Mus musculus: one gene and its partners. The protein of the gene in region 4 purifies or fractionates together with the protein of the main gene of each other region. This does not show direct contact. Links are inferred from orthologs where the notes say so. Each region holds a gene or a part of one and is shown on either strand. Other genes may lie near its edges. The genes, in order: Smarcb1, Hjurp, Kdm5a, Rbbp4, Cbx1, Sap30l and Arid4b.

Region 1 (3,500 bases), on a different chromosome or scaffold from region 4:
TGAGCAGTGAGCACGCAGCTGGACTGAGCCGGAGCGACGCCTTGGGCATCTCTGGAACTACAGATACTTGCCATGCCAAGGCCCTGAAGCCTCTCACCCTTCTCACCCTGGAGTTCTCACCCTTCCTAAGGCTGCGACACTTTAATGCAGTTCCTCATGTTGTGGTGACCCTCAACATAAATTCTTTCATTGCTACTTCATAACTGTCATTTTGCTACTGTTATGAACTGAAATGTAGGTATCTGATATGCGACCTCAAAAGGGGTCATGATCCACAGGTTGAGAAGCACTACCCTGAGCTAACTGACTCCCAAGAGGGCGGAACCTCACACTCACACACTGCTGTCACTGCTCTGTGTTCATGTTTGTTGTTAGAGCCTTACAGCCTAGCTTAGGCTGACCGTGGCTTGCCCTCTTCCCACGACAGTGCCTGATTTGAGAAGTGCCCTTTTTGTTTTGTTTTGGAACAGGGTCTCACTATGTAGCTCTAGCTGTCCTGAAACTCACTATATAGAGCAGGCTAGCCTCGAGCTCACAGAGATCCGCCTGCCTCTGCCTCCTGACAGTGCTGGGATTAAGGACATAGAACACCACCACCCAGCTCCAGCTTTATTATTTTTTTCCTACTGTGTGTTTCTTTTTTTTAAATATTTTTTTATTACGTATTTTCCTCAATTACATTTCCAATGCTATCCCAAAAGTCCCCCATACCCTCCCCCCACTCCCCTACCCACCCACTCCCACTTTTTGGCCCTGGCGTTCCCCTGTACTGGGCCTCTCTTTCCAGTGATGGCCAGCTAGGCCATCTTTTGATACATATGCAGCTAGAGTCAAGAACTCCGGGGTACTGGTTAGTTCATGTTGTTCCACCTATAGGGTTGCAGATCCCTTTAGCTCCTTGGATACTTTCTCTAGCTCCTCCATTGGGGGCCCTGTGATCCATCCAATAGCTGACTGTGAGCATCCACTTCTGTGTTTGCTAGGACCCGGCCTAGTATCACAAGAGACAGCTATATCAGGGTCCTTTCAGCAAACGCTTGCTAGTGTATGCAATGGTGTCATCGTTTGGAAGCTAATTATGGGATGGATCCCTGGATATGGCAGTCTCTAGATGGTCCATCCTTTTGTCTCAGCTCCAAACTTTGTCTCTGTGACTCCTTCCATGGGTGATTGTTTTTAATTCTAAGAAGGGGCAAAGTGTCCACACTTTGGTCTTCGTTCTTCTTCAGTTTCATGTGTTTTGCAAATTGTATCAGCTTTATTATTTTTAATTAATTAATTTTATGTATATAAGCACACTGTAGCTGTCTTCAGACACACCAGAAGAGGATCAGATCCCATTTCAGATGGTTGTGAGCCATATCCTCAGTGTTGCTGACTCTCCTCCCTGTTTTTTCCATGCTAATTTTTTTTTGGGGGGCGGGGTTCATTCACACTGTGGATTTTTACAAATGATTTTACTTGATCTTCTATGTCGCCGGCTGAATCAGGCTGGTCCTTAGAGCAGTGTACCACCACATGTTTATTTATTTACTGAGAGCTGTGAGTATGTAGGCAGGCAGGCAGAACCTTCTCTAATGCATGCATTTATTCCCTTTAGGTTGGGTTTGTCTACAAGGCAGACTATATTAACCATGTCCTCATTTTGTCTCTCAATCACCTTGCTTCTGCTTTCTGCCAGGAGCTGAAGCAGTGTGAGGCCTCAACAGATGCACACCTTATTCAGCAGCTGAACCTTGAGCTTCCTAGCCTTCAGAGACACATTATATTTATTTATTTATAAATTACCCAGGTTTGGGTATCTTGCTACAGCAATAACAAAAAAAAAAAAAAAAAAAAAAAAAAAAAAAACAACCTCTAAGACACATGCCCAGTCCACAAGGAATAGGCACACAGCAGAGCCAGAATGAACCGGAGTTTATAACCTTAAGATCCATGCCACAGAGCTTCAAACGTCAAGTCTAGACTCTGCCCCATGGGCAGCTGGAGAAAAGTGGATATTTTGAATAAGGCTCAGGCAAAAACCAGCTATCACATACCATTCATGTTCCAGGTAAAAGCGTCTCGCAGCTTCTGCCCGTCGATCTCCATGTCGAGCCGGATGGGCACCAGCACCTCAGGCTGTGACGCATTCTCATGGATCACAGCTGGGTCGTGGTCATCAAAGCTGAAAGCGTAAGGGCAGCAATGTCAGTCAGGGCTCCAGGGTTCCCTGGGTCCAGGTCCCCAGAGACACAGTGTCTGGCTTCCTAGTGCACTGTAGGTCCCTGCGTTGGAAGAGAGACGCCATTTCTTCTAGGCATTTGTTATCTAGTCCTGGGGCAGCACAGAAGAGGTTGTCAGGAGTCCCCAGGCCAGTCTAAAGGAAGTGCAGGGGGCAGTAAACAGGGTCAAACATGTCTAGGTGACGGTCTGCACGGGGCCAGGCAGTGTGCTTCCTGAATGCATGGAAGAGCCAGGAAGCTTCTGCCCTGAAAGAAGAAAACCTAGATATGCTAGCAGGCTCTGGACGCTCGTGCCTGTATCCCAGCACAGGGAAGGCTGAGACTTACTGCCAACAGTCTGAGGTCAGGTTGGGATACAGAGTGAGACCCTGGCTCAAAAAAACAAAAATTACCTCTTCCCCTTAAAGCTCAGAATTTTTCAGAAAACTAGTGGAAAAACACTAAGAGCCACAGGTCAAAGCTTAAGGGGGAGGGCCATAAGACAGGATGGAGGGAGGGGACCATAAAAGGCAGTGTCTTCTAGAGGCCCACTGCACTCACCAACTCAAAGCAGCTGTGCTAACCGCTCATGATATGCACAAAACCAAGTCAGCATGCATGGACAGGGAGGCCCCACGTTACATGTCCTTCTAAGAAACCCAGAGGGAGCTATCACATGGAGGAGTCAGCAGGACCACAGAGGAGGCAGAGACTGGAGTGCTGTGGCTATGGCTGTAAGCTGAGGAAGGGGTGAGCAGCAGGGCCTCTGAAGGGAGCAATGCCTGCCTACATCCTCACTTTGGCCTGTGACCCTATTTCAGACTCCTGACTTCTAGACTAGGAGAAACTAAATCCATACTGTTGTAAGTCACTACAGTGGTTTGTTTCAGCAGCCACAGAGAACTGACACAGTGAGAGTCAAGTGGGTATTCCCTGACACCCTCCAGATTGGCGGTAGGCATCGGACGGAACATGCTACAGGGACAGCCTAGGGACTGTGCCCCCAACAATTACACTTAGTTCCAGGGAAGAAGAAGGCCTAGCGAGCACAGCAGGGGGTCAGGGAGGATACGGAGCACCAAGGATGGTGTCCTGGAAGGACGAGGACAGCATCTGAGGCAGAGGCAGGGTGGCATCTGAGAAGGAGACCAAAGCACACTGGAATCTGTGCAGAGGCCAAGCTCGGCGGCGCTTACTCACCACAAGGGGAAGGTTCTCTTCTTGTCCCGACCCATGCGGTTCCTGTTGATGGTGGTGGAACAGGGCACAGCATCCAGGTGGTGGGAGCTGTTGGGC
Region 2 (3,500 bases), on a different chromosome or scaffold from region 4:
ATAGCAAGACAGGCTTTAAAGACAAAGTAGCAAGATTTCGTTGGCTCTGGAGCTGAAGGCAGGCCCAGATGGGTGGGCAAGGGACACAGCTGTATTCTTGGGACAGCTGGGGACACAGGCTGGAAAAGGATGCAGGTTCTGAACTAAGGTCTCCAGCGACCTTTCTTCTCATCAGAATCTCAGATTACCCCAAGGTGACCTAGACACGAGTCCACTCTCACAGTCACTTCCATAGTGATTTCTGGAGCAGGCCACCAAGGCACACCACGATAGCAGTTTGGTCTAGGAAAGTCAAGGGGGCTCACGAGGTTGAGGCAGCTAGACAAACAGCTCAAGGCCAAGAGCAAAGGGAGATAGCTGGTGGGAATACCCTGCCAGGGATTCCTGCCACACCAGGCAGCCAGAGACCCAGTTCAACCAGGGAAATACAGTTCACAAAGTATTTTTATCCATGGAAATAAATCAGAAAACAAAACTAGCCTCAGCATTTGGAAAGGAGGATCAGGAACTCATGGTTACCTTGACTATCCAAGGAGTCCAAGGTCAGCCCAAGCTATGCAAGACTGCCTCAAAAACCAAATAAAACATCTCCCCCACCCCCACAACCAGCGCTCTTAAGACTAAGCCGAGAGGTGTGAACAGCGTTCTGTCATGACTCAACTCATGGATTTAACACCGTGCTCTCCTGAAGGACACTCACCTACTCAGAAGCAGAAGTGAGGAAGGTGAAGATGGGGGAGTGGGGAGTAGAGACACTGTAAGTAATTCATGTTAAGAGGAAAACTGCCACTGAGAATCCCCTGAATAAGATAAAGAGACACAGTAATGGCCAAGGCTGGCTAGAGAAGCCCAAGGCACCAACATCCCACAAGAAAGGACAGAGATGATGCTGTGATACGGAGCAGGGGAGGTGGCTGGACAGAGGCCAAGTGGCTACAGGGAGCTGCAATGGAAGACTGCTCAGTACACAGGATGCCCTGGGGACCGTCCTCCAAAAGGAGAAACAAAAGTCTCTGCTGAGGTCTTCTTCCTCAAAGCAGCTGCTGACTACACATAAGCATCATGTCCAACAGACAAACACGCAATCAGCACTCAGGACACTCAGGGCCAGCCTGATGCTCCTGAGGTATCGTGAAACTTGGCCTGGTGAGCACAAGCTACCGGGTATGACAACTTGCACCTCTTTGTTGGCAGCCAAGAGTCTCTCACAAGTGTACTAGCAGTCTGTGCAGTTGAATCCTGCAGGACTCTTCTGTGACAGCCAGGAGAGATTGACCGTTTCTGGGAACTCTGTTGTGGGGAGTCTGGATTTAGTCTCTTCAAGTGCTCTGATTGACAGGGAAGAGCTGCAGCAGCTTTCATTGGCGATACTCTGCCACACGAAGTCACCTTCGCCCGCTGCGGTGACAGACAATACTTCTGATAAAGTCTGTTGAATTCTTTTTTAAGCTCATCATAGTTATCCTTCCCACAGCCTGGAGAGCCTATGCTTGGTGCTGAAATAGCTGTACTGGGCCACACTGCCTTACCAGTAGGTTCAGAATTGTGCTCTTGAAGGCCAGAGCTCAGCTGAGAATGGCTGGGGCTCCGTGACGGGCTGCCCTCTGGAGAGGGACAGCTCCTTAGAAGACAGCTCTTTGTTTTGACAGACTTTCCATTTCCCCTCAGGTCTTCTAAAGCTTCACCTGGCCTTTCTGTCTTTTCTCTGCCGAAAGGTGAACTGGGCCTGCAGGTTTCTACATCCTGACGGCTGCCTGGGCTCTTAGAACCACTTCTGTACACATCGACAGCCCAAGACTCTGTGGGGTCAGTCAGGCGAGGCTGTTTCCCAGAAGACAGGCAATATTCCTGATGAAGCTTGTCAAATTTGATTTTAATCTCTCTATACCACTTCTCTACTTGACTTGGAAGCATCCTTGGTCTGGGAACCACCTTGACGGGTGAAATTAGCCACTGTAATGTCATCACCCTATTTTCTCGCTCACGGTTTAAGTCCAAGTCCTTCTGCGGCATCATCTGGAGCTCCTTCCAAGCTGGACTGGATTTATGGACTTGGCGTTTGCTTCCTTCAAGAGAAACGCTTTTCAGTTCTAAGCCTGTCTTGTGGGGAGCAACGTGCAGTAAATTCCCGTAGTCTCTTAATATTCCGGCCTCTTTCCCGGGCTCTGAGCAGGACGCAGGCCCCTTCCTGGCACTCCTCTGGGAGGGCTTGCTCCGGGGGCAGTGTGTCCTGTTCTTGTGCAGCCCCTGCTTGCGTGAGGGTCTCCTCCGGAGCTTCCAGCTCTGGTTGATGTAGGTCTTGGTGGAGATGATGCAGGATGGCTTTGAGCGCAGCAGCCTACTCATGGAATGCATCATGCCTTCATACAAATCGCTGATTGTCACATTGCAAAGGTCATCAACCTCAAAGGACTGGCTGCTTACGCTGTTGCTGCTGGTCCCAAGTAAGGAGAGGCCATCACTTCTAGCCACAATGGCCATATCAGCTGGGCAAGGGTATGAGGGACCCTGGCCTCTAGAGGACAAAGCAGATACTTCAGGACCACCAGAGCTCTTTGCAGAGATAGCATCCTGGCATCCTAGGAGAGAAATAGACAAAGTCAAGAGAAACCACCATTCAATCCACCCATACTTACCCACCGGGCAGGGAGCTCAAGAGGGCATCACAAACCATGACAGTTTAAATAAATAAATAAAACCCCAGAAGGGTTAAGGAGCAGACTTTATTTCAGCAGTCAAAATTGGATTTCTAATCTTCCACTCCAGCTTTGCAAAAGGACTCTTCTCCCCTTACACTGTTTCGAGATGGCTTCCGCTTAAAAGCCAATACAATACACACATAGATGAAAACCTCAAAAAATTAATTAGAAAAATTCTACCATCGTAAACATTTTAATAAGAAAAGCCAACAAAGGGGACAGAAGAGATGTCTCAGGGCTTAAGAGCCTTGCTGCTCTTCCAGAGCATCCGAGTTCGGTTCACAGCACCATACCAGGCAACAAATGCCTTTAATTGCAGCTCCAGGGGCATCTGGCCTCTGTAGTCTGTGAAACCTGAATACACACACACACACACCCCACAAACATACATGGCAAAAAAACCAAACTGTAAATAACCCCAAACTCCTGACCTCTAGAGGGAGGGCCAGGAAGGCGGTACCCACGCAGCTATGACTTCTACATTACACGAGTACTTCATAGATCTCAAAAAGTAAAACCCAACCTACAGAAACAGGAACAGCCCCAAATGGAGCACTTGAGACAGGCTACCCCAGTGATGACCACTGAAGCAGCTGCTAAACGCAGTGGGTGCTGCCCGAGCCAGTCTAATACAAAAGTGGCCACAAAGGACATCGTGGGTCAGTTGGAAAAATTGTAGCATGCCAATGAGAAGTTTTTGGCACATTCTAAACTTGTCATAATCACTGAGAAGCACCCAGTCCTTGGGAAGTACATGTGAAACATTTAGGGGCATGTACTTGGCTATATATATGACCCAAA
Region 3 (3,500 bases), on a different chromosome or scaffold from region 4:
ACAGCTAACAAGATGCAATAAAACAAGAATGTAACTGATACTAAGATATTACAAACTAAGATCTTATAAAGGCAGGTGCTTCCACTATCTGGCCACCTTTAAGATTTTTCTATGATCATTAAATAATAATAGTCCTAGAAATGTCAGAGCCCTGATTTTTAAGTGTCATGCATTATTAATGATTTATCACTATACTCTCTGTTCTTTTTATGTACACTGCACTTAAAATACATTTGTGTTAGATGGAACTTTGACTCAAAATTAGCATAGAGAAGAATAATTCTAAAGTACTCATAGTTCAGGATTTTTAAATGGAATAAAGGCCAAGGGATCAGAGAAATGATGATTTAGTGGTTAACAGCACTAGCACTGGCTGCTGCTCCAGAGGACCCAAGTGTGATTCCTAGTACCTACATGGTAAAGAAAATGGCCTGTAACTGCAGTTCCAGGGGATCTGATGCTCTCTCTCCTAGCCTCCATGAGTACTGTACACACATGGTGCACAGATATACACGGAGGCAAAACAACTTGAAAAAAAAAAGCCAAGAGTCTGCCCAGTCTTTCTAAAGGTAGTCTATCTAAATCTCAACTCTCTAAATTTTGTATCTCATATGTATACTATCTAAGATTTCTTAAGATAGCATATATAGGGAGGAATACACAGACCCTAACACTAGTCTATACATACAATTCTAATTTGGAACAGAAGCTCGTAAATAAAACAAAAAGAATATTTCACCTTTACTTGTCGAGTTTGGCTGATGACACACGGAAGACTAACAAGTTGTTGGACAAAGGCCTTCAATTCTTCTACTGTCAGTTTGGTCCGAGTCTTCCCACTATCTGAGCTCTGCCTGATATGAAATAATATTGAGACATAGAAAAATACAGTCAATCTGATATCAAATGGGGCTCCTACTCTCCTATGAATTAAAGCCTTAGAAATCCTAGAATTCTAGTGTTGAATAATTCCCCCCAGATAATTATCAAGAAATAGTAACAGTCCTTCTAATCTATAACTACTATACATTTGACCATTAAATAAATTCCCATGGTAGAACATGAAGACCACTGAGAAAATGAAATCCTTGTATCTTAAAGAGGCTCACACTGGGAACATAGGGTTTTGATCTGCTTTAGACTACTGAACCCCCTAAATACATCCCAAATTCTGTTTTGTTTTACTATAGCTCTTTCTATTTTCTGTGTATGGATGTTTTGCTTGCACATATGTCTGTGTGTCACATGAGTGTGGTGCTCAAGGAGGAGCAAGGGCATACATAGATCTCTTGAACTGAAGCCATGTGAGTACTGGGAACTGAACCTGGGACCTCTGCAAGAACAGTCAGTGCTCTTAACCATGGAGCCAACTCTTCAGTCCCCCAAAATCTTTTACACGTACACTTATTTTGAAACAGGTCTGAGCTCTGCCTGATACGAAATAATACTGAGACATAGAAAAATATGGTCAAGTTTTCCTAAAAGCAAGTTAATATCCACTGGAAAATGTCTCTAGCAAAGGTTCTCTGATTAGATTTAAAAAAATAAAAACTTAAAATCGAATGTAAAGTACTATAGAAATAGCCACACAGATAGAAGAAATATATTGAATAACTATAAAATAATACCACAGAAATTGTTTATAAAATAGGAAGGAAAGTCAGAAGAAGAAAGAAGTGAACAAGCTGCCTCAGATATGGCAGGAAAACCCCAAGCTGAATGAAAAACAATCGGGAACCCTAAACAAGAGCATACTTGGTATGTACGAATAACAGCAAGTCAAAGAGTGTTGCAGAATGGAATAAGTTTATTGAAGAAAAGAAAAATGTAAAATTAGAAAGGTAACTTCTTCTAAAAAGTCAATCAGTTCTAACAAAAGGTAGAAAATAAAGCTAATTGTCTGAACTCAAAATAGTTTATTCATATTCAAATCTTTTGTGATTAAGCATCCTGAGCCATGCTGCTAAGAAACCTCTATTTTCTGGATGTTGTGGTGCATACCCTTAACCTCCCCACAACGGGCAAGTGGATCTCGGGGAACTTGAACCTATGTGTCTAAGATTTTTGTTACTTCAGATAAAGTTGAATATACAGCTAGGTCTTTGTCACAAGGATACTGCATAAACTTCAGTATTATTTTCAGCATTGAAACTAGCAGGTCTTTTGCTGTTTTCTTAGTGTAGTTTACAACTAGCTTAAATTTAAAGAACTTCTGACAATTTATGATCATGGAGAAGGAAGGATTGGAGAGGAAGAATGGGAGTTACTAGGGATGGAAGAAACATGGCCACTGGAGCAAAATATAAAATAGGGCCTCATAGGCCAATTAAAGTGGAAAGACTAGGAATCCACAGAATTCTGTTCTTGGTTTACCTGTGTTTTTGCTTTTTGCTCAGAAGCAGCTGAGCCACAGAACCACAGGTCTCAGCTTCTTTCACCGCGTCCCTGAGCTTTCGAAAGAGATCATTCTCTGGGTATTTCCTATCCTCAGCATCTTCCAGCATTACTCTCAATTCAATCAAATCTGTAAAGACAAATATTATTAATAGACACAAAACAGCCATTCTACAATGGTCATAAAGATCACTTAAGAGTCACTAACATACTAGTAAAACAATGTGGCTTTGAAAGTCTCTAGTATAAAACCTTCTGATCAGATGTTTATTCCCAACAGATGACTTCACTCAAATAAGGTATATTTGACCTGTCTCCTTTTCCCGTATCCCAATTTGTCTCTCTTGAAAACAATCAAAAGTCTTTCAGTATCATTAAACTAAATCTGGTTCTCTAAAATACATGTCGACTACAAACTTGTCTATTTTAAGCCAGCTTTTTCATTTAAAACAGATTCTCAATAGGTGTGATAGCAATGACACCAAGGGTAGAAAGGTCATGAGACTGAGGCAACAAAGCACAGTAGATAATCTTAAAAGCCTACAGCCATAGCAAATGACCATACCTGCTATCTGATCTCAGAAGCTGAGTTATATCAGGTCTGCTAAGTACATGGACAAGAGAAAACTAAATGTATATTCAACTCTGTCATTATAAGCTAGAACTTCCATTTGTTAATGGAGAAAAAAACATATAATTAAAAAATGAAGGAAACATAACCTTTCTTATGGTTGAAGCTAGCTGACAATGCTTCTGTAACACGATTGACCCAAGTGTCATAGGATTGTGCTCTCACTTTGACACCATAAAGCAGAGATGGAAGGTCTTCTAGTGGATAGCGGTACCTACCAAAAAAAAAAAAAAAAAAAAGTAAAAAAAAAGTTTAAAAAACAGAAGTAAAAGCTTCAAAATACAACAACCTGAAAAATAGCGGGGGGAAAAATATCAGAGAAACTCCCAATTTCAATGGAGAAAGAGAAAGAGAAAGAAAAAGAGAAAGGGAAAGGGAAAGGGAAAGGGAAAGGGAAAGGGAAAGGGAAAGGGAAAGGGAAAGGGAAAGGGAAAGGGAAAGGGAAAGGGAAAGGGAAAGGGAAAGGGAAAGGGAA
Region 4 (3,500 bases):
CAGAGGACAGCTGTTCCCAAAACACCCCCGACCCAAATAACTTCAGGGATAGGGTAACTAACATAAAACTCACCTTAGATCCCAGACATTCAGCCTACGATCGGTACCACTGGAAGCTAAGATAGTCTCATTGTGAGGTGACCACTGAACCTATATCCAGAGTGAAGAAAAAGTTAGAGAATAGAAGAGATACCTTACAAAACCTCATTAATAAAACAGAGAACACGGTTAAAGCTGAAAGATACTGCTTACATGAAAAGAACTCATTACTAAAGATAGAACTCAGCTTCTGTTGTATTTTACTTTGTTCCACAGTGTGGCTCAACAGGGCCACAGAGCATACAGCTCAAATTGGCTTCAAACTTCTGTGCCTCTTGCCTTAACCTCACACACTGAAACATAAGTTACCAAACCTAGCTTCAACTTACATCTTTGAAACCTTATTTATTTATACCTAATCCAGCTTTTAGTCAAAAGAAGTTTATTTCTGACACATAAAACTAAAATATCGACAGGTGGCATAAATCTCTTATTTTCTCAACTGCTCATTATGTACCACATAATACAGGATAGGTGTCTATCTTTCTCCTCAAAGATTCCTGATAATCATGTTAGCTATAAAAGATACAAACAACAATCACAAACTGTGTTATTTATTAAGAAAATGCTGGTTCATGGCACAAGAAAGGTATTACTAACTAATGGATTAGGGAAGAATTTAGTTATTCTTTTTTTTTTTTTTTGGTTTTTCGAGACAGGGTTTCTCTGTGTAGCCCTGGCTGTCCTGGAACTCAGAAATCTGCCTGCCTCTGCTTCCCGAGTGGTGGGATTAAAGGCGTGTGCCACCACGCCCGCCCGGCTTTAGTTATTCTTTCAAGCAAGATCACCAAAAGGAGTCCAGACAAAGATAAAATATCTCCAATACTCAAGTCTATTTAGGTGAGGATGACCTTGTATTGACTCTCCTGCCTCTTCTTTCTGCATGCTGGGATTAGTAGTCTTGATGAATGTAGAGTCTCTTCCTAGATAGTCAGGATGAACTACTTGTGACTACTTGGTTAGCTTCTTCTGCGTTGGGATTAGAGGCCTGTATTATCATGCCTGTCTTCACTATCAAATTCACGCTGGAGAGAAAAGGCTGTAAAGTGGTTGTCACAATGCCTTAGAGCATGTGTTTTAAAACAGCAGACAATTGGGCTGGTGAGATGGCTCAATGGGTAAGAGCACCCGACTGTTCTTCCGAAGGTCCAGAGTTCAAATCCCAGCAACCACATGGTGGCTCACAACCATCTGTAACAAGATCTGACTCCCTCTTCTGGAGTGTCTGAAGACAGCTACAGTGTACTTACATATAATAAATAAATAAATCTTAAAAAAAAAAAAAAAAAGATGTAAAAAAAAAACAGCAGACAATTAATTGAGTCAGGGGGACCCCTATGAAAAAGGGGGCATACAGGAGTCTAAGTAGCAATGGCTAAAATAGTAAAATTATCTCAAAAAAGGTGGGGCTGGAGATATGGCTCAGAGTACTGGCCAAACTTCTAGAAGACCAGTGTTCAATTCAAAACACACACACACAGATTTTGAGACAGGATTTTTCTTATTTTGATCCACCTGCCTCTGCCTCCAAGCTGGGAGATAGGTGGGCACCACCACTCCCACTGAGCAGCAAATAATTTTAAAACGAAGAGACAAGCAATGTTGGTTCACTCCTTTAATCCTAGCACTCAGCCGGCAGACCTCTGGGTTCAAGACCAGCCTAGTCTATAAAGCAACTTCCAGTATAGTCAGGAATACACAGAAAAATCCTATCTTTAAAAACAAATCAAAAAAATAACAAAACAGCCAGAAAAAAAAAAGGAATTTAATGATTGGTCTGAGGAGAACACACAGGTACCTCCCTTCCCCCAGTTCCCCAAGTGCTGGAATTATAGGCATGGACACAATAATCCAGCACTAGTTTCTTAATATCCCAAGAAACCAAGAGGTGCAAAGATTTTTTTCAGCTCTCAAATACTACTAACTTGAGCAGATTTCCTGTAGACAAAGGAAGATGAAAGAAAGGGAAGTGAGGGGTAGGCACATTGATTTCTCTTACTTGGAATATTTCATCCTTATGGGATTCAAAGGAGTGCAACTTGAGTTTCAGATTCCTCAGATCCCACAAGGCAACAGTCTATGTGCAAAAATAAAAATAAATTACTATTAATTTATCAGATAAGAACACCCTAAAGTAACAAGATGGTTCAGCGGCTAAGGGTGCTTGCTGAGGAGTCAAATGAGTTTGATTCCAGAACCTAAATAGTGAAAGTAGAGAACAGATGTTGGAGAGCTGTCCTTTGACCTCTTCAGTTGTCACCACATATGTCCCTCCACCCCTGCCAAATACATACATAAATGTAATTTAAAAAATTTTAAGTTAAAAATTACATTCATTTATTTATATATTTTTATTTAAAATCCTGATCTACAGTTTATGCCCCTCATATATTTTATCTACTCAGTGTATACACACGTGCCATGAAAACCATGCAAAGATCAGAGGCCAACTTGTAGGAGTGGAGTTGGCCTCTCCTTTAGTCATTTGGGTCTCAGGGACTGAATTTAGATTTAGATCTTCAGGCTCCAGTCAGTGCCTTTGCTTACTGAGGCATCCTGCCAATATAATAAGCACTTTTTAAAAATTTACAAGAAAAGACAAGAAAATCTTTAACTAAAATAAAACATTAACTCAGCACCCACTTGGTGGCTCACAAATATTTGTAAAATTAAATCTCAGGAGATCTGACTTCAACAGGAACCAGGCACCATGCTCAAGACATATATGTAAGTGAAAATACCAATACCTATAAAAATTTAAAACCTCAAACAACAACAAAAATCCAAACAGGGGGCTGGAGAGATGGCTCAGTGATTAAGAACACTGACTGCTCTTCTGAAGGTCCTGAGTTTAAATCCCAGCAACCACATGGTGGCTCACAACCATCTGTAATGAGATCTGATGCCCTCTTCTGGGGTGTATTAGTCAGGGTTTCTATTCCTGCACAAACATCATGACCAAGAAACAAATTGGGAAGGAAAGGGTTTATTCGGCTTACACTTCCATACTGCTGTTCATCACCAAGGAAGTCAGGACTGGAACTCAAGCAGGTTAGGAAGCAGGAGCTGATGCAGAGGCCATGGAGGGATGTTCTTTACTGGCTTGCTCAGCCTGCTCTCTTATAAAACCCAAGACTGCCAGCCCAGAGAGGGTCCCACCCACAAGGGGCCTTTCCCCCTTGATCACTAATTGAGAAAATACCCCACAGCTGGATCTCATGGAGGCATTTTCTCAACTGAAGCTCCTGTCTCTGTGATAACTCCAGCTGTGTCAAGTTGACACAAAACTAGTCAGTACATGGGGTGTCTGAAGACAGCTGCACTGTACTCATATATAATAAATAAATCTTAAAAAAAAAAAAAATCCAAAGGAGGCAAACCTACCTTGTCAGCCGATCCTG
Region 5 (4,222 bases), on a different chromosome or scaffold from region 4:
ATGACCCCCACCCCCAAAGTTGTTCCTGATCTCCATAAGTATGCAATGGCACACCCCACCCCCCACTTAAAAAAAAAAAAAACAGGAAAAAGGTGGGGGGGACACCTGGAGAGATGGCTCAGTGGTTAAGAGCACCAACTGCTCTTCCAGAGGTCCTGAGTACAATTTCCAGCAACCACATGGTGGCTCAAAACCATCTGTAATGGAATCCAATGCCCTCTCCTGGTGTTTTTTGAATGTTTATGTAATGCACTCACATACATTCAATAAATAAGTCTTAAAAGAAAGAAAAATCGTAGTGGAGAGATGGCTCAGCGGTTAAGAGCACTGACTGCTCTTCCGAAGGTCCTGAGTTCAAATTTCAGCAACCACATGGTGGCTCATAACCATATGTAATGAGATCTGATGCCCTCTCCTGGTGTGTCTGAAGACAGCTATAGTGTACTTATATAATAAATAAATCTTTTTAAAAAGAAAAGAAAAAAAAAATCAAGCCACTGCCTGACACACAATAGTTTTTTTCCCCTTTCCCTTTTTCTTTTTAAAAGGATCTATCTATCTATCTATCTAATGTACATGGGTACACTGTAGCAGTACAGATAGATGTGAGCATGCATGTGATTGCTTGGAATTGAATTTTAGGATCTCTGCTTGCTTTAGCCAACCTGACTTGCTCCTGCCCAAAGATTTACTTATTATTATAAATAAGTACATGGTAGATGTCTTCAGATGCACCAGAAGAGGGTGTCAGATCCGATTACAGGTGGTTGTGAGCCACCATGTGGTTGCTGGGAATTGAACTCAGGACCTTCGGAAGAGCGGTCAGTGCTCTTAACCGCTGAGCCATCTCTCCAACCCTCCTCTACTTTTCTTAACTGCTCAGAAAAATACCTAGAAGGGAAGGTTTAAATAATCTATCATAAAGCTATTGATAAAAAGTTGAACAAACAGAAACCAGAAATGATCTTTCACTGCCCAGATCTTAAGAAGCAAAGCCTCCTTCCTCCTAGGTCTTGAACTCCTGCTGCTCCAGGCTCCACCTCCCGAGTGCTGGCTGGGATTACAGGAGTGCATGCAGCAAGGCCTAACTGGGCTCTTTTCAACACACCACTTCCCAGATATGCCTAGAGAGCATCCAGGAAGTGTATAGGCACCAATTTCTTGATTGTAGCCATACATCTACCAGAAAACCTTAGGTCTTTTGAAACTATTCCAAAAAGCTGACATGATTCTTAACACAAAACTGGAGAGGTTACCCTATGTTCTAGCATAACTCATTTTTCAAAAAACCTTTTTATGGTATTGGAACATAACTCAGTGGTAGATAACTTACATGTGTGCAAGGTCCTCAGTACCACACACCGAAATGAGTTCTATATTTCTATACTGCTTTTTAAATAAAAATATTCTCGCTGCCGGTGGGCATGCACCTGCTTTCGAGGGTCCCTGCCATTTCCCTAATTTGTAGCTCAGAGGGCAATTCTGTGAAGTCTGCTCGCTCTTTCCACCTTTACCTGGATCCTGAGAGGTAAACTGAGGCCCCCAGGCTTACGCACAAAGAACAGATCTCTTTCATTGGATGAGTCTTGCCTTACACGTGTTCTTCCACAGCCTCCCAACTCACACTGAAGACCCATTACAAGGCACAAAGTGGCCTTTTCACCCTTTCTTGACTCCCCTGGTGGCCAGGCAAGGCTTTAAACTCCTGATCGTCCTGTTTCCGCTCCCAAGGGCTACATGAATGCCATCAAGCCCAGCCCGAATTTATAAGGTACAGAGGATTGAATTCAGGCCTGTGCAGTGGGCTAGGCAAACATTCTACCAACTAAGTTACATCCCCAGGGACCCTTTATTTTCTTCCACATTTGACCAGTCACTCTAGACTTCTACCCTACCTATCCCAGCAACTCCACTTTTAGACAAGGTCAAGAAAATGCCTGACCCCCCACCCCCACCCCTAGACGGATTCAACAAATCTCTTCCCCGCTAGCACACCGTGAGCTGCCCAAATCCTCCTGTTCAAGTTTATTGGAAGTTACTTCTTCTTAACTCTGGCAAGAGAAACTTCTCTGATAGTGGCAACTGGACCCAATATCCTCAGGTTACTTTTTCTCTCTTTCCTCCAAGTGCTACGGGGGTTGCTTGCGATTGCCACCGTGTCCGCTTTCTCAGGTTACATTTCTAAACCTCGAGAGTACGAAGTCGTGGTCCCTGCCACGCACACCCAAAAGCACCTGTCCCCCTTATGGACGTCCCAAAGTTTTCTTTCTCCCGCCCAACTCTAGAGTCCCTCACTCGGGTCAAACGCTCTTGGTCCAGTTCTTGAAAAGCTAACCCTCCGCTGGCTCCGCTCATCGCGAACCACTCGGCTCCCGGGCTCTGGATTCGCTGCCCCGCCCTCTCCACACTCCCGCAACCCGCGAGCTCTGCGCGGGAAGCGGACCCGGCGGGCGCTGGGCCGGGGCGCGCCCCCCATTCCTCGGTCTCCGCTCTTCCGTTAGCGGCCCGCGCTGGTCCGCGGCCTCCCGCCGTTGCCGCGTCCCCTCCCCCCACACACCCCGCCTCCAGCCCGCCTCTTCACCTCGTAGCAGCGCCCGAGAGTCCGAGAGGAATCGGTGCCGCGCTACTCGCGCGTTGCGTCGGGCGGTCCGAGGGGAGTAGCGCGCCCAGAGGAGCAAAGAGCCGTGTGGCCACAAGTCGACCGTCCCGCTGAAGCGGCGTACCGCAGGCCCCGCTAACGGCCCTCCCCTCAGCCGAACAAAAGAGCCTCTCACTCTGCGCGGCCCGCCGCCTGCACTGCGCAGACGCGACGACCCGCCGCAGGGCACCTTGGGATTAAGAGTCGGCCAGAAACTACAGATCCCAAAGTACCGCGCGAATCCCGCGCCGCCCACCTCCACTTTCAAGGATTGTAGGGAGTTTTCGTAGTTTTGTTTTCTTTTTTGACTGGAAAGGCGAAGTCGACTGTTACTTAGAACATAACTCTACAGTCTAGGAAATTGATGGGTAGTGGTGGGGTTTGTTTGTTTAATAACAGGATACGCAGCCCAGGTGGCTTCGAACTCGTGGCCTTTCTTTTTGCTTCAAATGTCAAAGTGCTGGATTCCAGGCGCGTGCTGGTATTCCTTACTCAGTCTACAAAAGTAGGACACTGCAGGTTTGGAAACTAGCCCGTTGATGTTTGGTCCGTTTGCGTTTAAAAGAAAAATATTGTATTCGTCACCTGAGATTTATCAAATCACCTTCAATAATGTCCAGCAATCTTACCTATTATTGCCACCTGACTGGGGTTCCTACCTCTCAGTTTGAATCACTGCTCCATTCAGAAAGCAGTAGATTAACCGTCTAGGTAGACACCATCGACACTTTCTGAATTTGCTTTTTTTCTTTCCCCTTCCTTCCCTCTCTATTCTTGTTTTATTTTTGGTTGTTGGTTCTGTTGAGTGGACAGGGTCTCAAGGAAGTCTGATCTACCTGTTTTCACTTCCCAAATGCCGAGTATTACAAACACAGACCACCACATTCAAAGTTTTCCCTTTATTGCCCTTGCCGGTGGGTGACTTTCATGGGGATTTCTCCATCTCTGTGAACATCCTTTATCAAGTTAGTCTAAAGAAACGGAATTAAGCAAAAACCACGGCTGGGCTGTCATTCTTTAACACGGGTGCTACTCTGATTCAGGTAGGTTGCTGCTAATTGTTGAACTAGGAACTCCAGTAAGGACAGACGCTTCATATGACTCATTGTGTCCACGACACTCAGGATCCTTGGTGTTTGTTTCTAGCAAGGACAAGGTCATTTTGGTTGTTTGTTTGTTTGGTTGGTTGGTTGGTTTGTTTTTGTTTGTTTTTTTGAGACAGGGTTTCTCTCAAAACTCAGTTTGTAGACCAGGCTGGCCTCAAACTCAGAAATCGGCCTGCCTCTGCCTCGAGTGCTGGGATTAAAGTTGTGCGCCACCACGCCCGGCCACAAGGTCACGTTTTGACTCTCAGTATTTATTGGTAAAAATTCCTTGAATATGTGATTAAGTGAATAACTGAGATGTCCAACTGATAATAGAACTGATCAAACTTTCCAAGGCCAGATTCAAGCCTCTTAATCCTAGTACCCGGGATTGAGACAGGAGGATTGCTGGGAGTTTAAGAGCACTTTAGCACTTAGGAGGCAGAGGCAGGAGAATTTCTGAGTTCAAGACCAGCCTGTTCTACAGAGTGAGTTCCAG
Region 6 (4,226 bases), on a different chromosome or scaffold from region 4:
AGAGCGCAAGTGGCTTCCCACAGCATAGTGGTAAACTGGGAAGAATGAGTGGCAGAGTGGGGTGTTTCTAAAGCTTAGGTAGGAAGAGGCCAGACCAGAGCAGGGGGCAGCAACCCAAGCGACACTGGAGCCTGTTTCCTTTATGTGATCCCCAGCTTCGAGCACTCTCCAGAAGCAAAGAAGAAACCCATCAGCGGCAAGTTGGCTATGTACTAATACAGTACAGAGGCAGCCAGTGGCCACCTGAAGGGGGGTGCTATAGTATTTTAAAAGGGCTTTTGCCAGATCCTTTTACCAGACAGCTATTCTCTGTCCTTAACCATGTTCAAGTCTAATCTGCTTTTCAGCAATCTCAGGACTCAGGGGCTTTTGTGGGTGAGGTGGGGGCCTTAGGGTGGAAGCAAAGGCTCACTGTGGTTGTCTGGGTTTTTTTGTTTGTTTGTTTGTTTGTTTTTTCTTTCCTGTTTCACTTGCTACAACAGCTAGACATTCTAGTAACACAGCACTTACTTGGGACTGAATTCCTGCCCATCTGTGGAATGAAATAGAAACTGTTTCAGAGATAATGACTCTGTACTACCACCTTGAAATGGACTAAGGCCGCACATCTAACCACAAGCCTTCCCAAGTACTGCCTTTGGGGATGCTAGTACAGGGCAGAGGGGGCCTTTCTTCCAGATGATGATGATGTGTGTGTGAGTGTGTGTGACATCGACATGCTCAACACTGCTCCACATGGCTTCCCCATGGGGTGAGTGGATAAATGGAGTCTTTACTGCAACAACAAAACCATCCAGATGTGAGCACTGCCAGCAGCCCACACGGGAGGCAGGCACCGTTTCCATGTGGATAAACTCATCCCCAGTCTCGGGATCACTTTCACTCCCATGTGTGATTAGCAGGGGACACCTGAGGGTTTAGCCAGCTTTGCTTCAGAGTAATCTCATTCATTCATTCATTCACTCACTCATTTATTTACTGACAAGACATTTGTAAAAAGGAAGGTCCCAATCATAAAAAAACAAAAAACAAAACCCAGCACGATTTCAAATGAGCTGGATTCTACTGGTTGACTAAATAAAACTGAGTGTGCAAGAGAAGAGTCTAGAAGAAAGGATGATGATCTTATTTATTATAGACGAATGAAAACTGGGTGTAAGGTTTGGAAGCAAGCCAGGCAATAAGTGGGCTTAGGAAATTAGCCAGCTTTTAAGTGCAGTGTGCTCTTGGCGCCATTGCTTCCTACCCCCCCGCCCCCAGCCTCAGTTTCTGCCACATCAGAAGTGTAAAGATCGGCTCCCTTTCCCGCTACCAAGCAATGTCTGATTTCCCCAAACCGTTGAACAGTAATCATTCAAACTCCTGAATATGAGAAGTTCCTTAACTCAGTCTCAATTCCTAACCTGGAAGCTGCCACTCAGGGCTTGCAGCAACAGATGTCAAACTGAAAAGTTCTTAACCGGTTGGCAGTAGGCACATCTTGAGGACCAGAGTAGGTGAAATCACTCAGGAAGTTTCTTATAATTAGCCACAAGGCATAGGGCAATCTCATTCCATTTTAAATTTGCACCTCTCCACCTCCAACGGCATTACCAAAGATGCTAATCCCCGCAAGAAAGCTGATTCCCCGCCCCCTTCAATCACATCCACAGCAAATCATTTAAGACCCGGCCTTGGCCTTATTTCTGCCACATCTCAGAAAAACTCATTCGCTGCCAGCGAAGCGGGCTCTGTGTTGCGCTGCAGAGACCGGAGGCCGCGGCAGACAGGAAAGTCGCGGCCACCTTGCTAGTGTCTGAAAGAGCGACAAGGTCCCTGGAGGGAGGACGAAGTTGGAGAAGATCCTCCCGGTTCCCTTGTCACCTCTTTTGCCCAATTCTTGCAAAAGTAACCCACCTCTCTCTGCTCTGCTATTCGGCGCAACAGTGACAGCTGGAAACTGCTGTCGCTTTCCCAGGCAGGGAGAGTGTGCCAAGCCCTCCCTGGTTTCCCAGCCCACCCTCGGGGACGCGGGCAGCGTCGCGGAGCACCGAGCGGCCTCCAAGAACCTGAGTCCCCTGTTTTGCACAGACTGCGCGGCGAGGCCCACCGCGCGGAGCGTCCCCGGGGTCCCTTCCCGCGGCCCTGCGCTATGCCCCGAGACTCACGCTCTTGTCTATGTCCAGCTTGAGTTTCTTCTGCGAGATGCTTTTCTGCACCCTCTTGCTGAAGGAGGCGTTGCCCGCGGGCCGGACGCAGCGCTCGCCGTCCGCGATGAGGCAGCAGCTCTGGCCGTAGCCCGGGGCGGCGGCGGGGGCGGCAGGGGGCCCTTCGCGGCTGTCCTCCTCTGTGCTGAAGCCGTTCATCTCCCCGCCCCGGCCCGGCCCCTCCGGGGGAGGACCCCTGTAGGCCACTCCGCGGCTGCTAGCCCCGCGGGGCAGCTCTTCGCCAGCCCCGCGCCCGGGTCCCACGGTGCGCCCTGGGTCAGGCGCGCTCCGAGCTCCGCGAGGCCCGGCTGCTCTGTGCTCCTGCAGCCCGGGCCCCGGCGGGGATGCACACGCCGAGGCTCCGGCCGGGGCTCACGAGGCTTCCCCCGGGATCCGGGCCCGGCCGCCCTGGGGCTCCCGAGGCCCCCGCCGGCTCCCGCCTGCTCCGCGCCGCGCGGCAAAGTCTCCACCCCGTGGCTCCCCGCGCGGGGGCCCGGCCTCGAACCTGCCGTGTCCGGGCCCCGCGGTGTGCTCGGGCCGCCCCAGCGCCTGGCCGCTCGGCGGCGCCCCGAGTCCCCGCGGCAGCCCCTGGGCCGCCCCGGCCGCCGCCCGCCCGACGCGCCGCACCACAACAGTGCGCTCCCCCGCCCGCCGCGGCACAGCGGAAGTCCCGCCTCTGTGCGCTCAATGGTCGTATTCTTTATGTAGGCGGGGCCCACGTCGCCGCTGGCAGTTCCCATTGGGCGCCATCGCTGCCGGTCTCCGGTGCCAGGCTACTTCCTGGACTCTGCTGGGATGGGTTCAAAGTAGAGAAAGTGCAAGAGGGAAGAGTTACCCGGGCTAGAGAGGACAGCGGGCCGCAGGTTTAGTCCTGGTTGTGGAGTGGGATGCTGAGATGGGTCTGGAGGGATGCAGGATGTTCTAGGCCGTTAGGATGGTAAATAGGGACCTCGCTCCGCGAGGGATGCTGAACGGGGTCTGGAAGAATGCAAGATGTCCTGGTCCGGGCCAGGAATGGTGAGCGAGGTCCTCTGGCTCTGGGGCGAGATGCTGTGTTAGGTCAGGAGGGACGCGGGGCCTCCACCTCAGGGAGTGGTGCTGAGCGGGATATGGAGGGTCGCAGGGTCTCCATTCCGGGATGGGATGTTGAGCAGGTTCCCAATCCCAGCGCGGGATCCTGAGCAGAGGTCCGGCTCCATAGTGGGGTTGTGAGCAAGCCGGTTATGGAACGAAATGCTAAGCCGGATCTGACAGGCCGCAAGGTCTCCTATGTTGAGTGGGGTCTGCGGGAAGCAGGGACAGACTTGCAGCAGAGATCACGTTCGCAGTGGACTGAAGCATCGACGTGCGGAGGAAAACTGAGGGACAAGGGAAGGGTATGGGAAGGAGACCTTAGGGAGAAAGTGCTGCCAGGAGAACAGACTGGGCAAAACGGAAAAGCCTGGGCTGGAGGATCTACGCGGCAGCGGGAGACAGGGTGCATGGTGTGGGACATGAAGCTAACGAGGAAGTGCATATGCGCGTAAAGAGGCACTGAGAGACAGGAGAGGTCGGACAGGTGAACTAGAAATCTTTGAGTACAGCGGGCACCAAGGAAGAAGGGACTTAAGGAGGAGAGCCCAGCGTCAGAGCAACCCTGGCCTGGGTTGATCTTCAGGGTGGACTTTGTGGGCTGAGGCAAAGGTGAAAAGCCCTTAGGCCACCAACGGAGGACTCACCTTCAGACTTGTTAGAGACTGATTTGTAGTTTTATTGCTTCAAGCTAACTCAGACCAACCCGGGAGGAGGCCACCGCACCCTGCCAAGACCAGGGTGTCACCTCGTCCTTGATGCAAGGACACAGGGAATTTTCTGAGGGTCGGGTCCTACAGTCAGTAGTGTTGTGGGGGAGAGGTATGGTTATGGGATGGGTGTCCGGAAAGCTCTTAAATTCTCTCCAGAGGTCTAAAAGTGCGTTTGTACAGTTTACTTTTATTAATTTCACACAGGAGACAGTATGTTAGAAAATACACCTACCAGATAAAAATTTAAGGCCACTGT
Region 7 (3,500 bases), on a different chromosome or scaffold from region 4:
CCAGTCACTGAAATGACTACAGAGACCCAGTTCCATCTCTAGAACCTATGTAAAAAAGCAGAGCCTGGTGGCCAGGCAGCTTAGCCTATGAGCAAGGCTCAGGCATATGAAATACGCTGTCTTAAAAAATAAGGTATCTGAGGTTGTCCACACACATGCAAACACATAAACACAGGTGGAAGGAGAGAGTAACTACAGTGCATGGAGTCTACACTCTCTTGCTTTTACTTTGGTTTAGACTATGAGACAGGGTCTCACTATATAGTCCTGACTCAGCTTGAATGTTGTTATAACAAAGAGAAGATGGACAACCTAAAAATCCTGAAGTAATCACTCCACAAGTATGGATGTACAGAAATACCATACTGTGCCCATTAGATGTGTGATTATCTGTCAAAGAATTCTTTAAAACAAAGTCATTACAATAATACCAGGCACAAAGGAAATGCAAAATACAGGATTTGTTGAATGAGTATGCACAAATCAGATCTTATGATCTGTGCATTATGCTAAACTTCTTTTTTGACAAACAATTTTACTACGTAGCCCAAGCTGACCTGGAGCCTCCCACTCTTGCTATATCCCTGCCTTCTTAATGCTAAGTCTACAGCCATTTGCCACCCAGTGAAGGCCTAACATCCCTATTTATCTTTATACTGAGGGTATACGCCTTGTGAGTAGGCACTGTGATGTCATTAACAGATGAAGCTGACAGCGTAAAGAATTTGGCTACAGAAACAACAGACATAGTCCTTCCTCAAAAGCAATGTAATAAACGGAAATTATGTTTAAGGAAAAAGTACTTACTTTCTCTCTCTTTCTTCTTTAAACGTTTTCTCCTCCTATCAATGGAAGCTACTTCAGATTTTAAAGACAGATAATGCTTTCTGATTTCTTGCAATTTTTCTTGAAGAATTGAGATACGTTCAGCACTTGTCATATTTTCCAGGTCCGCTGTTAATTTAAAAGCCTCATTAATAAGTATTTTGGGAATAAAAGTTAATAAAAATGAAAAAAAGCCAATGTAGTCTTAGAGTAAGGTCTAAGACAGGTAACTACAAGAAACAACTTTCCATGTGTGTTGGTGCACACCTGTTATACCAGCTAAAGCACACACACACAAAACAAAGACATCAAAATATAGCTCTACTCCCTGCCCTTTGACTACAATAACCAGACACAATGAAATGTACAGTACAGGGTTTGTTGAATGAACACATACAAACCAAAGACTTTATAATCTATGCATTATGCTAAAACTCTTCTTTTGAGCAAACAGGGTCTTGTTATGCAGCCCAAACTGACCCGGCCTTCCATTCTTGCTGTCTCTGTTTTCTGAATGCTAGGATTATAGAGCTGTCCCCAGCTCTACTAAGTTTTCTAGTTATACACAACACTGCCACAGTGTATGAGTTAAAATAGCCAATGGAGCCTGGCTATACCTGGTATAGGCTATGGTGAAATACACCTTTAATCCCAACACTTGGGGGCAAATGAAGGAGGCTGCCTCTGAGTCCCAGGTCAGCCTGGCCTATACAGTCAGTTCCAGACCAGACAAGGCTACATAACCAGACTGTGTCTCAAAAACAAAACAAAACAAAACAAAACAACCCACCAACCCAGTTATGATGGCAGGCTTGAGATTCTAGCCCCCAGGTAACTAAGGCAGGGATTGCCTTGAGTTTGAAGGCAACCTTATCTATACACTGAGTACCCAGCCAGACAGGCTATATAGCAAGATCTTGTTTCAAAAAGGAAAAGTATATTTACAAATATGGTGCAAAGACACCAAAAGGTTAAAATTGTATTTTGGAAGAGAAAGGAGACGGGGGTCTTATTTTGTAATCCATGTTAGTCTCAAACTCTCAATCCTCCAGTCTCAGACTCCTGAGCTCTGAGAGTACAGGTGGGTGGACCCATACCTAGCTACCATACGATGTTTTTCTTTAAAAGACAAAGTAAGAAAAAGATTTATTTTTATTATTATTATTTTTAAAGATTTATTTATTTTATGTATGTGAGTACACTGTAGCTGTACAGACGGTTGTGAGCCTTCATGTGGCTGTTAGGAATTAAATTTAGGACCTCTGCTTGCTCTGGCCGGCCCCGCTCACTCCAGCCAAAAGATTTACTTATTATTATACACAAGTACACTGTAGCTGACTTCAGACACACCAGAAGAGGGAGTCAGATCTCATTACAGATGATTGTGAGCCACCATGTGGTTGCTGGGATTTGAACTCAGGACCTTTGGAAGAGTAGTCAGTGCTCTTACCCACTGAGCCATCTCACCCACTCCTATTTTTACTATTTTTAATTGGGTATGTGTGGTCTATGTTCCTGAGTTCAGGTGCCCAAAGAGGACCAAGGTATCAGAGCCCCTGAGTTACAGTTGTGAGATGCCTGACATGGGTGCAGGAAATTGAACTGCCCTCCTCTGGAAGAACATACTCTTAACTAGTAAGCCATTCCTCCGGCACCCTACACTGTCTCCAGGCAGATTCTCAGCCTTACATGTACTCAGTGCTGGCTAGCACCTGTCTTAATATTTTCTTTTAGCAATTTGTTCATTCTAATCAGGATCTTAGTAAGGTCTATACTATGCCATGTCTCTCAGGCTCAGTGTAGTTTCTTTTTTAAAGCCCCGGCATCAGGAGTAACTAAGACAAAACTCCTACATCTAAACTACATATGTCACTTACACGTCTGAAAACTCCACTTGTAAACCTTGGGAAGCCGGTTACTAGGCTCCTTGAGATCAGGGTCTTTATCCCCATTCCTGCCACCTTTTCCTGGAGACTGTACCCTTGCTGGAGACTTGCTGTTGTGGGTCTTCATTCCGGTGGGGACTGACTTGATTGTCTGAGTCTTAGTCACACTTTCACCAGCTGAGAGTTCTTCACTGTCACTACTGTTTGCTGAAAGAGAAAGAAACCATCAGTAAACAAAAGTTGGTCAAACTATCATCAACTTACGAGGATAACTCTAAATATACCACTTGATTTTTCTACTACAGTAAACAATCTACCTAGAAATCCTAGAAAATCGGTGTTGAAGATTTAGCTCAGTTGTGTAATGCTTGCCTAGCAAGCCCAAGTCCCTGGGTTCAGCCCCCAGCACTGGAAAAATAAAACCTAGAAAAAGCACATGCGTATGCAGACATAGCTCATCCAAGGGAAACAAATGCCAAAGTCTTCCCACCTATATTGCCAATAGGTATGAACTCGTTGCACTGACCTTCCATTCTGCTAGCTTTACTATGAAACACAGTGAGCCAGTAGCTGATGCACCCACATACCTATATCACAGATGCTTCACTCAGTCACAGGCTCTTACCTAGCTAAAGAGCTTTTTACTCTGTTGGAATAAAGGATTCCTTGTAGGAACGTCTTCATTATCTACACAACTCTAGTACACAGCAACATGTAGCAATTCCACTGCCACAGTAGTACATATCACCATCACTAATAGATTCCTTAACCTCTTTACACTCAATAGCT

The links.
Region 1: the proteins of Rbbp4 (region 4) and Smarcb1 purify together in Homo sapiens (affinity purification with mass spectrometry; 3 studies listed by BioGRID, with this or other methods). This does not show direct contact. The link is inferred for Mus musculus from reciprocal best matches to the Homo sapiens genes RBBP4 and SMARCB1.
Region 2: the proteins of Rbbp4 (region 4) and Hjurp purify together in Homo sapiens (affinity purification with mass spectrometry; 5 studies listed by BioGRID and IntAct, with this or other methods). This does not show direct contact. The link is inferred for Mus musculus from reciprocal best matches to the Homo sapiens genes RBBP4 and HJURP.
Region 3: the proteins of Rbbp4 (region 4) and Kdm5a purify together in Homo sapiens (co-immunoprecipitation; 3 studies listed by BioGRID and IntAct, with this or other methods). This does not show direct contact. The link is inferred for Mus musculus from reciprocal best matches to the Homo sapiens genes RBBP4 and KDM5A.
Region 5: the proteins of Rbbp4 (region 4) and Cbx1 purify together in Homo sapiens (affinity purification with mass spectrometry; 3 studies listed by BioGRID and IntAct, with this or other methods). This does not show direct contact. The link is inferred for Mus musculus from reciprocal best matches to the Homo sapiens genes RBBP4 and CBX1.
Region 6: the proteins of Rbbp4 (region 4) and Sap30l purify together in Homo sapiens (affinity purification with mass spectrometry; 3 studies listed by BioGRID and IntAct, with this or other methods). This does not show direct contact. The link is inferred for Mus musculus from reciprocal best matches to the Homo sapiens genes RBBP4 and SAP30L.
Region 7: the proteins of Rbbp4 (region 4) and Arid4b purify together in Homo sapiens (affinity purification with mass spectrometry; 5 studies listed by BioGRID and IntAct, with this or other methods). This does not show direct contact. The link is inferred for Mus musculus from reciprocal best matches to the Homo sapiens genes RBBP4 and ARID4B.

The regions. Positions count from the first base shown.
Region 1 is NC_000076.6:75,908,115-75,911,614, forward strand, and holds part of Smarcb1 (SWI/SNF-related matrix-associated actin-dependent regulator of chromatin subfamily B member 1), read right to left. Parts: coding exon 3,405-3,500; intron 2,168-3,404; coding exon 2,040-2,167; intron 1-2,039.
Region 2 is NC_000067.6:88,264,080-88,267,579, forward strand, and holds part of Hjurp (Holliday junction recognition protein), read right to left. Parts: intron 2,580-3,500; coding exon 1,102-2,579; 3' UTR 1-1,101. UniProt on the Homo sapiens protein: Centromeric protein that plays a central role in the incorporation and maintenance of histone H3-like variant CENPA at centromeres.
Region 3 is NC_000072.6:120,405,599-120,409,098, reverse strand, and holds part of Kdm5a (lysine-specific demethylase 5A), read right to left. Parts: intron 3,240-3,500; coding exon 3,115-3,239; intron 2,525-3,114; coding exon 2,374-2,524; intron 1,432-2,373; coding exon of another isoform or gene 1,242-1,431; exon of another isoform or gene 894-1,241; intron 855-893; coding exon 740-854; intron 1-739. UniProt on the Homo sapiens protein: Histone demethylase that specifically demethylates 'Lys-4' of histone H3, thereby playing a central role in histone code. Does not demethylate histone H3 'Lys-9', H3 'Lys-27', H3 'Lys-36', H3 'Lys-79' or H4 'Lys-20'.
Region 4 is NC_000070.6:129,318,371-129,321,870, forward strand, and holds part of Rbbp4 (histone-binding protein RBBP4), read right to left. Parts: coding exon 3,484-3,500; intron 2,177-3,483; coding exon 2,099-2,176; intron 151-2,098; coding exon 74-150; intron 1-73. UniProt on the Homo sapiens protein: Core histone-binding subunit that may target chromatin assembly factors, chromatin remodeling factors and histone deacetylases to their histone substrates in a manner that is regulated by nucleosomal DNA.
Region 5 is NC_000077.6:96,787,713-96,791,934, reverse strand, and holds the start of Cbx1 (chromobox protein homolog 1), read right to left. Parts: upstream 2,801-4,222; 5' UTR 2,582-2,800; intron 1-2,581. UniProt on the Homo sapiens protein: Component of heterochromatin. Recognizes and binds histone H3 tails methylated at 'Lys-9', leading to epigenetic repression. Interaction with lamin B receptor (LBR) can contribute to the association of the heterochromatin with the inner nuclear membrane.
Region 6 is NC_000077.6:57,800,211-57,804,436, reverse strand, and holds the start of Sap30l (histone deacetylase complex subunit SAP30L), read right to left. Parts: upstream 2,801-4,226; 5' UTR 2,346-2,800; coding exon 2,148-2,345; intron 1-2,147.
Region 7 is NC_000079.6:14,192,784-14,196,283, reverse strand, and holds part of Arid4b (AT-rich interactive domain-containing protein 4B), read right to left. Parts: intron 2,919-3,500; coding exon 2,703-2,918; intron 955-2,702; coding exon 808-954; intron 1-807. UniProt on the Homo sapiens protein: Acts as a transcriptional repressor. May function in the assembly and/or enzymatic activity of the Sin3A corepressor complex or in mediating interactions between the complex and other regulatory complexes.